Linked DNA regions of Saccharomyces cerevisiae S288C. The protein of the gene in region 1 interacts with the protein of each later gene in a biochemical or structural test. Each region holds a gene or a part of one and is shown in the gene's direction. Other genes may lie near its edges.

Region 1 (8,703 bases):
TGTTGTTGCTTCTCGTCGTTATCATCAAGAGACTTACTGCGTTGCTGTTCCTCCTTCCAGCGCTGCAAGTATTCGGAACGCTCCTTTGGGGGAATATTCATTAAGTTTGGCTTTGGCCTTGTCTTGACTTTAGCAGGCGGCGTTGATTTAGTTTTTGGTTTGGATTTACTCTTGGGAAGAACCCAGGGGACAAAGACATCTTGCTCCATACCTTCATGGTAACCTCTACGGGAGCTGCCCTGTTCTAGAGCCCAACAATATATTAATGCTTGTCCGCCCTGACGTAGCTTCGATAGAACGTGCCTGATCACCTCAACACGTCTCTCCCTTGTAGACCAGTGATGCACTACAGCAATTGAGATGGCGAAGTCAAATGTTTCGTTTTTGTGTGGTAAGTTCAGCCCGTCTGCCACCAGTAAGTTGTACGATGGGTTTATTCCTCTGGCGCACTCAATAAGACCATCTGAGCGATCTGAACCGATAATATATATATCAGGGTTCACTCCGAGGTACTTTCCATTGCCACACCCGACGTCGATACCGATGGAACCCATTGGGCGAGTCTTCAAGAACTGAGTCACTATGGGCCATGGCTTATATCTAGTTTGCGAGAAATGCGGAGCTATCTCATTATACACTTTGTGAACATACTCCTGTTCTTTTTCAGCCGCTTGGTTTATCTCCATGTTGGTTCTTAACCTTTTATTTCTTGGCTCTTCGAGACCTCATCTCTGTTCAGTTCATTACCGAATTTTTTCTCTTATTCCCATTTCTTCGACTGAAAAGTTGAAAGAAATTGAAAAATCAAGAAGAGGTATATAGAGATAATTATCCATATAAATGAAGAGCACAAAGTAAGTTTGAGCTTCAACAGCGCAACGATGACCGAACCTCAAGGTCCTTTGGACACCATCCCGAAAGTGAACTATCCGCCAATACTGACAATAGCAAACTATTTTTCCACAAAACAAATGATTGACCAAGTCATCAGTGAGGACCAGGACTACGTTACGTGGAAATTGCAAAACCTGCGAACGGGTGGTACATCAATCAACAACCAATTAAATAAATATCCAAAATACAAATACCAGAAAACCAGGATAAATCAGCAAGACCCGGACTCTATCAACAAAGTCCCAGAAAACCTGATCTTTCCACAAGACATTTTACAACAGCAAACACAAAATAGCAATTACGAAGACACCAATACCAACGAAGATGAAAATGAAAAACTTGCGCAGGACGAACAATTCAAGCTCTTGGTAACCAACTTGGATAAAGATCAAACTAATCGGTTTGAAGTTTTCCATAGAACATCCCTAAACAAAACCCAGGTCAAAAAACTGGCTAGCACAGTAGCTAATCAAACTATAAGTGAAAATATTCGTGTTTTTCTGCAAGCGGTGGGAAAAATATACGCTGGTGAGATAATCGAATTGGCCATGATTGTGAAGAATAAGTGGTTGACAAGTCAAATGTGCATAGAGTTTGATAAGAGGACCAAAATAGGCTATAAATTGAAAAAATATCTAAAAAAATTGACTTTCTCCATCATAGAAAACCAGCAATACAAGCAAGATTATCAATCCGATAGCGTTCCCGAAGACGAACCTGATTTCTACTTCGACGATGAAGAAGTAGACAAGCGCGAAACTACGCTGGGCAACTCGTTGCTACAGTCCAAATCCTTACAGCAATCAGACCATAATTCACAGGACTTGAAGCTACAACTCATCGAGCAGTACAATAAGCTCGTCCTCCAATTCAACAAACTAGATGTAAGCATCGAGAAATATAACAACAGTCCCTTATTGCCCGAACACATCCGTGAGGCGTGGAGACTCTACCGTCTGCAGTCGGACACTTTGCCTAACGCTTACTGGAGAACTCAAGGAGAAGGGCAGGGATCCATGTTCAGATAGCTGCCCATAATTGTCCAACGGCTCCAACATATATCAATCTATATATAAACATATATATAATTTTTAACATGTCGTTTGAAATGACATGTCTATTTTTAAAAGGATAGCATATAAATTAATGAAAAAAAAAAAAAGAAAACGATTACTGCAGATCTTCTAATTCTGTTAATCAGCTTTCTCTTGTGAACCATTGGCAGGTGGGTAACATAAAAGCACAATACAATAGCTTCCATTATTAGTTTTGTTTGTTTTGGCAATACATGTTAAATCTTTTTCTTTCAAGTTAAATATAAAGATTATATATAAAAGTACTTCTTTGGAATACATTTGATTATACTTTTCTTTATCGTTTTATTTTTATTTCATCGTTATAGTCGCTTCTTTTCCCCTAGAGGCTTTGTCATAAAACAACAAATCAACCACTCTCTGCTTATCTTTCCTTCCTTTTCAAAATGGGTAATTCAAGTTCAAAATCTTCGAAAAAGGATTCACATTCGAATTCCTCCTCGAGAAATCCTCGTCCTCAAGTGTCGAGAACCGAGACTTCCCATTCTGTGAAGTCTGCAAAATCAAATAAATCTTCAAGATCAAGGCGATCTCTTCCTTCTTCGTCCACTACGAATACTAATTCAAACGTCCCTGATCCCTCCACTCCATCAAAGCCCAATCTTGAGGTTAATCACCAACGACATAGCTCTCACACGAATCGTTACCATTTCCCATCTAGCTCACACTCGCATTCAAATTCTCAAAACGAATTGTTAACTACTCCTTCATCATCCTCTACTAAGAGGCCTTCTACTTCTAGAAGATCAAGTTATAATACTAAGGCTGCTGCTGATTTACCACCTTCAATGATCCAAATGGAACCCAAGTCACCCATTTTAAAAACAAACAATAGTAGCACACACGTATCCAAGCATAAATCTTCATACTCATCTACCTATTATGAGAACGCCTTAACCGATGATGACAATGATGATAAAGACAACGACATCTCGCACACTAAAAGGTTTTCTAGATCTTCGAATTCTCGTCCGTCCAGTATAAGAAGCGGATCAGTGTCAAGAAGGAAATCAGATGTGACCCATGAAGAGCCTAACAATGGATCATACTCCTCTAACAATCAGGAGAATTATCTCGTTCAGGCATTAACCCGGTCAAATTCTCATGCATCTTCGCTACACAGTAGGAAATCTTCGTTTGGATCAGATGGTAATACCGCATACAGCACCCCATTAAACTCTCCAGGCTTGTCCAAGCTAACAGATCACTCTGGTGAATACTTTACCTCTAATTCAACCTCCTCATTGAATCACCATTCAAGTCGCGATATTTACCCGAGCAAACACATCAGCAATGATGATGACATTGAAAATTCATCTCAATTGAGTAATATCCATGCATCAATGGAAAATGTTAATGATAAAAATAATAATATAACAGATAGCAAAAAAGATCCGAATGAGGAATTTAATGATATAATGCAATCTTCCGGAAACAAAAACGCTCCAAAAAAATTCAAAAAGCCTATCGATATTGATGAAACTATCCAAAAATTACTGGATGCGGGCTACGCTGCTAAGAGAACAAAAAATGTTTGTTTGAAGAACAATGAAATTTTACAGATTTGCATCAAGGCTCGTGAAATCTTTCTTTCTCAACCTTCCTTATTAGAATTATCACCTCCTGTAAAAATTGTAGGCGACGTTCATGGCCAATATGGGGATCTCTTAAGGCTTTTTACCAAATGTGGGTTCCCACCATCCTCGAACTATTTATTCCTAGGTGATTATGTGGACCGTGGTAAACAGTCACTGGAGACTATTTTACTATTGTTTTGTTACAAAATAAAATACCCTGAAAATTTCTTTTTATTGAGAGGCAACCATGAATGTGCTAACGTCACAAGGGTTTATGGATTTTATGATGAATGTAAACGTCGTTGTAACATCAAGATCTGGAAGACATTCATCGATACTTTTAATACATTACCATTAGCTGCTATCGTAGCCGGAAAGATTTTTTGTGTTCATGGTGGATTGTCGCCAGTTTTAAATTCTATGGATGAAATCAGACATGTAGTTAGGCCTACTGATGTACCAGATTTTGGCTTAATTAATGATCTTTTGTGGTCCGATCCCACAGATTCACCCAACGAATGGGAGGATAACGAACGTGGTGTAAGTTACTGTTATAATAAGGTGGCAATTAACAAATTCTTGAACAAGTTTGGGTTTGATTTGGTTTGTAGAGCTCACATGGTTGTGGAAGACGGTTATGAATTTTTCAATGATAGAAGTCTCGTTACGGTGTTTTCCGCGCCAAATTATTGTGGTGAATTTGATAATTGGGGGGCTGTAATGAGCGTCAGCGAAGGTTTATTGTGCTCTTTTGAATTGTTAGATCCACTAGATAGTGCAGCTTTGAAGCAAGTTATGAAGAAAGGTAGACAGGAAAGAAAACTGGCTAATCAACAACAGCAAATGATGGAAACAAGCATCACAAATGATAACGAATCTCAACAGTAAATTTACTGACTAAAAAATCCAGAAGTATTATATTCATTATTTCATGAACAACTCAACGATGTACATATGCACATATATATATATATATATATATATATATATATGAAAGACAGGAAATAGAAGTTCCCTATCTTTTTCTTAATGACATTAAAAAACTTCCTTTCATCGCCTACTGCCTTCGCGTGTGTATTGAATGCTCATTCGCTCTATACAATCTAGAACTCTCCGAAATTTCGTTCTACTTTGCTTTCGCTATATTAAGCTGTTTATATAAATTACGTAATGGTATATAGTCATATAGCTAAATTCAATGGTTCGTTTCTATAGATTGGTTCTCCTTAATTTTAATTTTTTATTGCGTATAACGTGAGAGATTATTTTCAACCCCCCCAATACTTACGAAACTTCATAAAACTTCTTTAAGAAATAAGGGCCTATAAAAATTGTGAACTAATCAAGAGAAAATATATAATCAAAATTGATTAATCAGAAAGACGAATTTTTTTTAAAAAAAAAATTCAAAACAACTGAAGGGGAAATGGACAAAAAGCAGCATAAGTAGTAAAAAGTGGAAACAAAATAAGGTCAAAAAAATCTGAGAGGAAAAGGAACGCTATATTACATTACTCAGAACTGCGTAACCGACTAGAACAAAAAAAGGAAATAGAGGAAAAAAAAAAAAAAAAAAAAAAAAGAGAAAAGAAAATTAATGGGTCAGTACATGACTCATAAAGGCATGTCTGTTGTTCTGTTATTGTAGTTGGAGTAGTTACCGCTGCTTCCACGTCCACCACGACTACCTCGATTGTTATATGCGCCTCTGCCAAATCCCCTTCCTCTGCCAAATCCTCTTCCTCTCGAACCTCCATTCATACCGCTGCTGTTATAGTTACCGCGTCCATTGTTCCTTATAGAATCATTATTACCTTGGCCAAGGAACCCACTTGCTGGTTTGAAAATGGAATATTGTTGTGTATTGGATGTTGAGTTCGTGAAATCATTCTTTTTATTTCCTGAGGCATCTAAAGATGAATCCGAGGTTAACCCTTCTTCATTGTTTTGTCGATCATGATATCTTGAACCGTTATTATTATTACTACTACTATTATTATTATTATTATTATTATCATTAGTGTTGTTGTTGTTGTTGTTGTATGAGCTGCCACCACGATATCCGCCGCGATTACCACGATTGTTATGCCCACCTTTATAACTGCTGCCATTGGGGCCTCCACGATATCTATTACTCCCTCTAAAATTGCCATTATTGTTATTATGGTTTCCGTTATATTTGGTTCTGCTCATACTATGTTCCCTTTCCACATTCTTGAAAGTGAACTGTTTATCAACATCGGTTTCTGAACCTTTATCTTTATCATTTGAGACATCTAATTGAGCTTTATCGTCGCCACCTTTCTCAAAGCCTTGTTCATCGCCACCTTTGAACTCGTCCGATTTATCGGGCTTAGATTGTAGTTCAAGAGCTGGTGAGTCAAGCTTGCTTAATGGAGTTCCTTTCTTGGAAGTTTCATTGACCACAGATCTCTCAACTACTTCAGAGTAACTTAAAGGTTTGGGAGTTGGGGTTGCAGAATGTGATTCCTCCTCTGTAGGTGTCTGCTTTTTCAAGATTGTGATCTTGCTGCCTGTTGCAGTGGTTGCCATAGAATCACTACTAGGGATTAATGATGCCCTCAGGGTTGTTGTATCTTCCACGTGTAAATTTTCCATTTTTTCTTCAATGTCCAAAATCTTCGATTGCGTATCAACCGGTTTAGCACTTCCAAAAGGATTGGATTTTGACCGCTGAGTCTTAGTAATGAATGGTTTGCCAGCATCGTCTTTAGGGTCTGTTAATAATTTCACCTTCGTGCTGTAATCCTTAAAATCTTCGAATTCTGCGGGCGCTGTTGTAATGTGGTAAATTTCCTTCAAAGGAGTGGTCCAATAGTTCAAAATTTTGTCCATATCACGGGATGTATATAACTCGACAAATGCTACCTTCGAGTCACGTTTGAAATTTTGATCAAAGATTGACCCCGATTTCAAAGTAGAAATACTTGGATTTTTATTTATCTCCCAAAACAGTTTGAACTTAATAAACTTGGTAAACTTTGCTTGAAAAAGATCTTCAATGTCAAAGTTGGAAAATCTCGGTGGTAAATCAGAAAACTTCACAATATAAGGAGGACCTTGCTGATGCTGCAGCGGGTGGTGATGATTTGCAAAGTCCCCCATGCTACCACCACCAAAAGGCCCTGCATTAGAAAAACGTGATCTGTTCATGGGTCCATGACCACCGTGTGGGTGCTGTTGGTGACCATCACGTTGATGTTCGCCTGCCTTGGTTTGTTTCAAGATGTCAATATTCGTAGTATTGCTTATAGCATCCAAATTAATATCTTCCTCATCCCATACTGACTCGCCTAAAGTGTCGTTCCCTAGAAATTCTTCTAGGGACATTTTCTTCGTAGTGCCATTATTATTAGATGTATTATTTGTTCCTGAATAGAAACATATGTAGACAATTCCGTGACTTTCTCTTCTTTGCGGAAAACCAAGCTGATTAGAGAAAGCAAAAACATTGCAAGACCATGTCTAATCAGCTTGATTTTTAGAGAAACGATAAAAAAGAAGAAAAGAGGCCAAGAGAGAGCATTGTTCAATTGTTAGTGGCTATTTAAACTTGATCTATTTTCTTAAAAATCCACATGAATATTATATCCTCTTTCATGCAATAATTCCTACGTATGACTGAAACAGAAGAAAATAGTAAACATAAAATACTAAAACAAAAAAAAAAAAGGAAACAAAAGAGGACCGTTATGGATCAAAAGGGGTTAATGAGAAAAACCGAGGCACATACCCATTTCTTCCCGTTCCAGCACTCTATGTGATTAAGATCGAGTGAGCAAACGTGTTTTTCTAGGATGATTTCTTGACCAATTCTTTGTGGAGATAAGCTTTAAAGTCTGAAGAACGTATCTCTGTAGTTCTTCTGTCTCATTTAAAATAACCCAAAATTTCCGAAATTTCAGTGCAGCTCAACCCTAAATTAGACCTAATTGAAATCAGTAGGGTTAGCTCGTATTTGAAATATTACAAAACAAGTCCTATAAAACTCTAATCTTAACCCTTATGTTAGATTTTCAGCACGTGATTTTGCATCTTTTTTAGTTTTGCTTAAAAAATTTTGACCTCTACCTTTTCTCTCTCTGTTTAATCAGGTAATAAAAAGTTCAGCCAAAAAGTGTGGTTGTGAAATTTTATTCTGGCGATGCGCAATCGGAGTCTTTTCTATTTCTTGCAACTCGCAGAAGAAAAGGTATTTTACTACATAAATTGTATATATTCCTTCTCAGGATCAGCAACATAAGATATTGGCTTTGATATTATATTGCATCTTATTGCATTGTGTGTTGTGGTTAAGACAAATAAATAAAGGAAGTTTCTTCTTTTTTTTCCTTCCTTTTTTTCCTCTCTCAGATAAAAGTTCAACAGAGCCATGGTGTCGAAGGATCAAACGTCCTTTAATAAGAGGTGGACCTTGGGTCTTCTGATGTTGGGTCTAGTCATTATTTTGTGGGTTTTATCGTCCTTCCTGATAAATTTGATCTTCGAGGATGACTCGTATAGAAAACCATTCTTTATCACGTACACCAATACTGCCGCCTTTATCTTTTATCTTTTTCCAACTGCAAAGGCCGTTGTGGTGAATTACAAGGACACAGGCCGTGCAAACGTTCACCGCGAACTAATTATGGAGGAAGAAGGTACTGGTAGTGATAGCAATCGCTCGGTTGATATGACTAGCCCACTGCTTACAAACCTTGAAGCAGGCACGCATGCCAACCAAAAGAAGAGGCTAACGTTATATGAAACAATCAAGTTAAGTGCTGAGTTCTGCATACTTTGGTTCACAGCTAACCTTGTGACCAATGCCTCGCTGGCATTCACATCGGTGGCATCGCAGACAATCCTCTCCACTACTTCTTCCTTTTTCACCTTGTTCATAGGTGCTATTTGTCATGTTGAATCGTTGAGCAAGTCCAAAGTACTCGGGTCGTTCATTTCCTTTGTAGGCATAATCATGGTCACCAAATCAGATTCTCATCAGCGCTACCAACGCCATATCGCGGACGTTAGTGGTGATGATAACGATGCCGTGCAAGTTCTGATAGGCAACTTGTTGGCACTTGCAGGTGCTGTACTTTACGGTGTCTACAGTACTTTATTGAAGAGAGAAGTCG
Region 2 (2,676 bases), on another chromosome or scaffold:
TTTGACCGTAACAGTGATCATCCTGTCAAAAATAGAAACCAAACGTTGGTGGAATTTTCCAGTGAACTTGAAATTTTGCACGTCAAGTATCGCTTAAAAGCAAATGTGGTCCATGTGGTCATTAAACAACCATCCACAGATGGAAACGCATTTAATGGTGATGAAAAAAGCCATTGGATTACTCAGCTGTATGATAACAAAAGTGAAAAATGGATAGAAATAGATGGCATAAATACGACAGAGAGAGAAGCCGAGCTTTTATTTTTGAAGGAAACGTTTATACAAGTATGGGAAAAGCAAGAGTGAAAGAAAAGAAAGTAAAAAAAAAAATTGGCACTGGGACTACCAGTAGCCATTTCATTTTTACTGTTATTTAAGGAGCCTTTTCCCTCCTAACGCGTTTTCTCTTTCCCATTCATTCCATTAACTACTTCATTAGAATTTTTAGAAAAATACAATATAATATATATGTAGTGGGCTTTCTAGTTATTTAATGCATAATGACTTTATAAAATTTGTTTATTTAATTGCCACTGAATTAACACCCGCCGTCAGCACAGAAACAATATTGTTCTCTAGTGTCTCATCTGCTGTTTCGGAAAGGTGCTTCTTTGGATCTTGCCTACCAACGTATCTTGTCTTAAGTTCTTCTTCGGTTAATTCCTTTTCCTCTTCTATTCTCTTAGAGTACTGTTCGGCTATCTTAACCATACTCTTTGTAGCAGCCAAATTTGATTCTTCTTTTTCTTCATAATCGTACATCTTAAGACCTGATTGCCACTGTTCTTTATGTAAGTTCATTAACATCTTGGTTTCCTTCGCGGTTTTATGATAATCAATATTTAAAGAATAGTAATGCCTATTCAGACCGTGAATTAAGGCTTGAATGTTGGCCTTGTTCAATAAGCCTGTGTTGGAGGTTGTTTGTCTAGGCTCTAAGTTATTTATCAATGCGCCCGTGTCAATCAATCTAAAAGCATCGATGACAACTTTTCCCTTAACGGATTGAATAGGGTCAACAACGACAGCAACAGCTCTGCTGTTTAGTTGTTCAAAAGATTTTTGAGTATTAACATCAACAGAAGATAGCCAACAGCCAAACCCTGGATGAGAGTGGTACCAGCCAACGACCATTTGGTCTCTGCCCGTTTGTTTTAACATGTCCATCATCTTCGCTTGGAAAACATCATCGACAGCCTCAACAGAAACTCCGGTACCCGATTGAGGCATCGCAAACACGTCCACAACGTTAACCGTATAATCATCGACAAACTCACCTAACATCAACCCCATGACTTCCATGGGAACACCAGCTCTACCATGCTTTAGCATCTTTAAAAGCGCAATCGAAGAAATATAAACAGTTTCTTTCGTATCGTCACGGCCGGTGTCCGCGGACCCCACCTTACTATTCATCATCAATCTCTGTAGTCGTTCCATTATGTCTCGTCTTTCTTGTTAAGTCCTCTTAATTGTGTTATCACCTGCTATTTTTCTTTCTCAATATTAATACTGGTCATAAACCGTTTCTTAGCTTAAAGGCTTTTCTTGTGAATTTGCCACCTTGGAGGTCCGAAATCATCAGCGACGTGCGTTTCAGTATAAACAAGGGGCCGTATTTATCATTTAGAAACAATTCGAGTCAAGGGTCCCAAGAGCTTATAACTGCCAGGAGTTGCGAGCTAAGTCTTCAATTAAGTCTATAAGGATGAGTGGAAATCAAATGGCTATGGGATCAGAACAACAACAGACCGTAGGGTCCCGAACGGTGAGTGTGGAAGAGGTTCCCGCAGTTTTGCAGCTTCGAGCAACTCAAGATCCTCCAAGAAGCCAGGAGGCAATGCCTACAAGGCACAATGTAAGATGGGAAGAAAATGTGATTGACAATGAAAACATGAATAAAAAAAAGACCAAGATATGCTGCATTTTTCATCCACAAAATGAGGATGAAGAAGAGTGCAACCATCATTCAGATGATGATGGATCCTCTTCTTCCGGATCCTCTTCTTCAGAATCTGAGAATGAGAAGGATCTTGACTTTAACGAACGTAGACAAAGAAGATTGGAAAGGCGCCATCGTAAACTTGAGAAAAAAAGGTCATATAGCCCCAATGCTTATGAAATCCAACCAGATTATTCTGAATACAGGCGAAAACAGCAGGAAAAGAAGGACTGAGGCTTTGTACAACGAAAGCCAAAATATTCGATGAAGCAGCAAATGGCTTTTTATACTTTTACTAAGTATGCGCGCATACTGATATATAGATATAAACAAAAATATACAATATTTAAAAAAATCATAGAGAGACGTCTATATTAATTAAAGTGCTGTACGTTTCCCTTGGCATTCTGTATTGAATCATACCAGCATAAATCATACATTGTCTCGCAACATTTTTTAAGGAATCAATTTGTTGACCTTTTGTGGACGATTGATACTTACTTTCGTTCAAGATATGAATCATGTTCGATATACAGCTTAGAGTGATAATCAACAAATTTGGAATATTTTTCACAATGTTGTCATCTAAATTAGAGAAATCTTGTGCTTTCTTTCTAGCAGATAGCTCGTCTGAGAAAGGAAGTAAATCCAATAACTCCATTTGGGATAGTGTTTCTTGCCATTGTTTATTGAAATATAGCTCCCTGATAGAGGAGATATTTAAGAGCAGCATA
Region 3 (3,809 bases), on another chromosome or scaffold:
TATATATATATATGTAATATATTCATAGCACTTACTTATTAATGAAGGCCATAAGCCAAACAACATCTCACCATTTTTCTTCAGGGTTTTCTTTAAACCTTAGGTAATCCTCTTTGTTGAAAAGCGAAATTTCGGTTTCATTCTCAATGCCATACTCGAACAGCTTTTTTTTGTCATTCTCTATGTCTAAAGTCCAGTCGTCATCGTGGTCAAAATTGATCACGAGATTAACCGTCTTGGAACCATGTGCGTGCGTGTATATCTTTAAAGTATCAAACTTAACATTACGGAATGGTCTGAATGAACCTTCATTTTGAATTTTGTTCAAAACGTCATTGAACAGGTCCTTTGCAGTTTTATCAGCAAGATCGTAATCGTGCAGCACTATGTTCTTGACGTTTCTATATGGGAAAGATTTTATTACTCGGATTGTAATAACGGAGTTCTTTAGTGGTCTGGCATTTGAGGTTAATGGCTCTTCCAAGTCATAATCATGAAAGGTTGTTGACATTTTCAGCCTTTTAGTTGAATTCATGAAATAATGCAACCAAACAAGAAAAAATTTGGGGGAGGTAGTCTACGCATTTCAGTTCTAACTTCCTTCCTTTTCTTTCACTATTAATTGAAACTTATTTTCATTTTTTTTCTTTAGCATTGAACGCCGAATCTAAAAAAGTAAAGAACTCCTCATAGGGGGCTCGAACCCCTGACATTTCGGTATCCTTGCTTAAGCAAATGCGCTTAAAAGCCGAACGCTCTACCAACTGAGCTAACAAGGATGAGTTCTTCGGAGGGCTAACTCATATAAATAACTAATAAAGGCGAAATAGTGGTCACCACCATCACACTACACCCATATCAACGACAAGAGTTTAATTTGACCGTGGAAATTTATTACTGCTGATTTGGGTTCTATGATAAATCCTCGTAACGTAGAGACTATGTTTTTATATGCGCATTAAGTGCCGGAAAACGTGAGAAATAGGCTTTCCGGAGCATCAAACCTGAGGTTTCATAAATTGTGTTCGTGAAGGATGCATTCCAGAGGGCCATCCATCCAGCATAAAAAGAGATCTACAAAGCAATTATGTGGTTTCGCCATTATCCGTAGGATGACCTAAAAAATGGTAATGATTCACGTGATCTAGAAACTTTAACGTGTTATATCATTCAAGGCGTAACTTATACGCGCGGGGTACCCTATCATATCTAACACACGTACCCTGGGTTAATGCCATGATCGTCTTTGATGTATCTCTAATGATCATTATTATTTTTTCTTTTGCTTTTAACATGAGTCAAAGCAATATTCTTATGTTATATAACTCACCCCATGTGCTCGTGGGCAGTGACGCACGCAACTTTTTCTCTTGCAAAAAATGGCATCGATGCTTTTCTGGGGAGGTGATATTAGAGGAGAAGAAGTCACAGAGTGCTCTTGGATCACGATCCCTCACTTGTACTTGTCCACTTATCAGCGCCGTCCAGTTACATTTGGAGAGATCTTTTTTTAGCCTGGCCTTCTTTGCTGTCATACTACTTTATATTCCGGGATAAAATATAAAGAAATATTAGTTAGGAAAAAATTAATAGGGAAGAAAGATCTAGAAGCAAACAGCAATGACTGCCGTCGCCTCTACTAGCGGGAAGCAAGATGCTGACCATAACCAGTCTATAGAGTGTCCAAGGTTTTCGCGTGGACAGAAAGAGATTTTGTTGGACCATGAGGATGCGAAGGGGAAGGATTCAATAATCAACTCCCCCGTGTCAGGGAGGCAATCAATAAGCCCTACTTTGTCGAATGCTACTACCACGACTACGAAATCTATTATGAATGCCACCGGCACCTCCGGCGCAGTAGTAAGTAATACTCCGGAGCCTGGTTTGAAGAGAGTCCCCGCCGTCACTTTCAGTGATCTAAAGCAACAGCAAAAGCAGGATAGTCTGACTCAGCTGAAGAACGACTCAGAAAGGACCAAGTCTCCAAATAGTAATCCTGCTCCTGTCTCAAATTCCATTCCTGGCAATCATGCAGTTATACCGAACCACACCAACACTTCAAGAACAACGCAATTATCTGGGTCTCCACTCGTCAACGAAATGAAAGATTATGATCCTAAGAAAAAAGACAGTGCTCTTAAAATAGTTGATACCATGAAGCCTGACAAAATCATGGCCACTTCAACGCCAATAAGTAGAGAAAATAATAAGGTAACCGCCAAAGCCCCCACCAGTATTACACTTCGAAAGGAAGATGCACAAGATCAAGCTAACAATGTTTCAGGCCAAATTAATGTGCGTTCTACCCCGGAAGAAACGCCAGTGAAGCAGTCCGTCATTCCTTCCATCATCCCCAAAAGAGAGAACTCCAAGAATTTGGATCCCAGACTACCTCAAGATGATGGAAAATTGCACGTGTTGTTTGGCGCTACAGGTTCGTTATCGGTATTTAAGATCAAGCCAATGATTAAAAAACTAGAAGAAATATATGGACGTGATAGAATAAGCATTCAAGTTATCCTCACTCAATCAGCAACACAGTTTTTCGAACAAAGATATACCAAGAAAATTATCAAATCTTCAGAAAAACTAAATAAAATGTCGCAGTACGAATCCACTCCGGCAACTCCAGTGACACCAACACCAGGACAATGCAACATGGCTCAAGTAGTCGAGTTACCCCCACATATTCAACTATGGACCGACCAAGATGAATGGGACGCATGGAAACAACGAACTGATCCTGTACTTCATATAGAACTACGTCGCTGGGCGGATATACTGGTAGTAGCTCCATTAACTGCAAACACATTATCAAAAATTGCTTTGGGCCTGTGCGACAATCTTCTGACAAGTGTCATTAGAGCTTGGAATCCGAGTTATCCCATTCTTTTGGCACCTTCTATGGTGAGTAGCACTTTTAATTCTATGATGACAAAGAAGCAACTACAAACGATAAAGGAGGAAATGTCCTGGGTCACTGTTTTCAAGCCGTCTGAGAAAGTTATGGATATAAATGGTGATATTGGTCTCGGGGGTATGATGGACTGGAATGAGATTGTTAACAAAATCGTTATGAAATTGGGTGGGTACCCAAAAAATAACGAGGAAGAGGACGATGATGAGGATGAGGAAGAAGACGACGACGAAGAAGAAGATACAGAAGATAAGAACGAAAACAACAACGATGATGATGACGATGACGACGATGACGACGACGACGACGACGACGACGACGACGACGACGACGATGATGACGAGGACGAGGACGAAGCAGAAACCCCAGGTATAATAGATAAGCATCAATAAATAGTCTATGAATTACAAATACACTAAACACATTCTACTTATTTGTGTTTTGTAATTTCTGGAAAAATACTCATTAGGCAAATTCACGCAGCATATTTACAAAATGTCACAAATTTTTTTCCTTTTTTACTTGCAGTAGGTATGTAATGCCATACTAGCGTACATAGAGCTCTTCATATAAACCGCTATTTATTACTAATTTTAATAATTCAGTAATTCATTAAATACATTCATTACTTTCTGGGTAAATATCTATTCGTTTCTCATTTTTCTTTTTTTGACATATCCCGGTACCGGAATAAGTCCGATACTATTCAAAAGCTTCTGGAAAAAAAAAATAAAAAAAAGAAATGATTAGTAATCATTTAATTTCATGACATATTAAAAAGGTATTCTAAGCAGAAGTCTTTCATCACATTTGATCTAAGCATATACACTGTAAGTGAAGGTATCGATGTCACAATACAAAACTGGTTTACTTTTAATACATCCGGCGGTGA

The links.
Region 2: the proteins of PPZ1 (region 1) and YPI1 form a complex in vitro, tested with the Saccharomyces cerevisiae proteins (one study listed by BioGRID).
Region 3: the proteins of PPZ1 (region 1) and SIS2 form a complex in vitro, tested with the Saccharomyces cerevisiae proteins (7 studies listed by BioGRID).

The regions. Positions count from the first base shown.
Region 1 is NC_001145.3:235,208-243,910, reverse strand, and holds PPZ1 (salt homeostasis regulator), read left to right. Parts: upstream 1-2,374; coding exon 2,375-4,453; downstream 4,454-8,703. Other genes in the region: TRM9 (tRNA (carboxymethyluridine(34)-5-O)-methyltransferase), read right to left, coding at 1-686; TATA-binding protein-associated factor TAF11, read left to right, coding at 882-1,922; PSP2 (Psp2p), read right to left, coding at 5,180-6,957, 7,320-7,323; YML018C (uncharacterized protein), read left to right, coding at 7,959-8,703. UniProt on the Saccharomyces cerevisiae protein: Essential for the maintenance of cell size and integrity in response to osmotic stress.
Region 2 is NC_001138.5:152,157-154,832, reverse strand, and holds YPI1 (type 1 protein phosphatase-activating protein YPI1), read left to right. Parts: upstream 1-1,708; coding exon 1,709-2,176; downstream 2,177-2,676. Other genes in the region: mRNA splicing protein SAD1, read left to right, coding at 1-306; proteasome regulatory particle lid subunit RPN11, read right to left, coding at 520-1,440; linker nucleoporin NIC96, read right to left, coding at 2,298-2,676.
Region 3 is NC_001143.9:575,935-579,743, reverse strand, and holds SIS2 (phosphopantothenoylcysteine decarboxylase complex subunit SIS2), read left to right. Parts: upstream 1-1,620; coding exon 1,621-3,309; downstream 3,310-3,809. Other genes in the region: AIM29 (Aim29p), read right to left, coding at 68-535; YKR073C (uncharacterized protein), read left to right, coding at 1,237-1,557; electron carrier DRE2, read left to right, coding at 3,764-3,809. UniProt on the Saccharomyces cerevisiae protein: Component of the phosphopantothenoylcysteine decarboxylase (PPCDC) involved in the coenzyme A synthesis. Acts as an inhibitory subunit of protein phosphatase PPZ1, which is involved in many cellular processes such as G1-S transition or salt tolerance.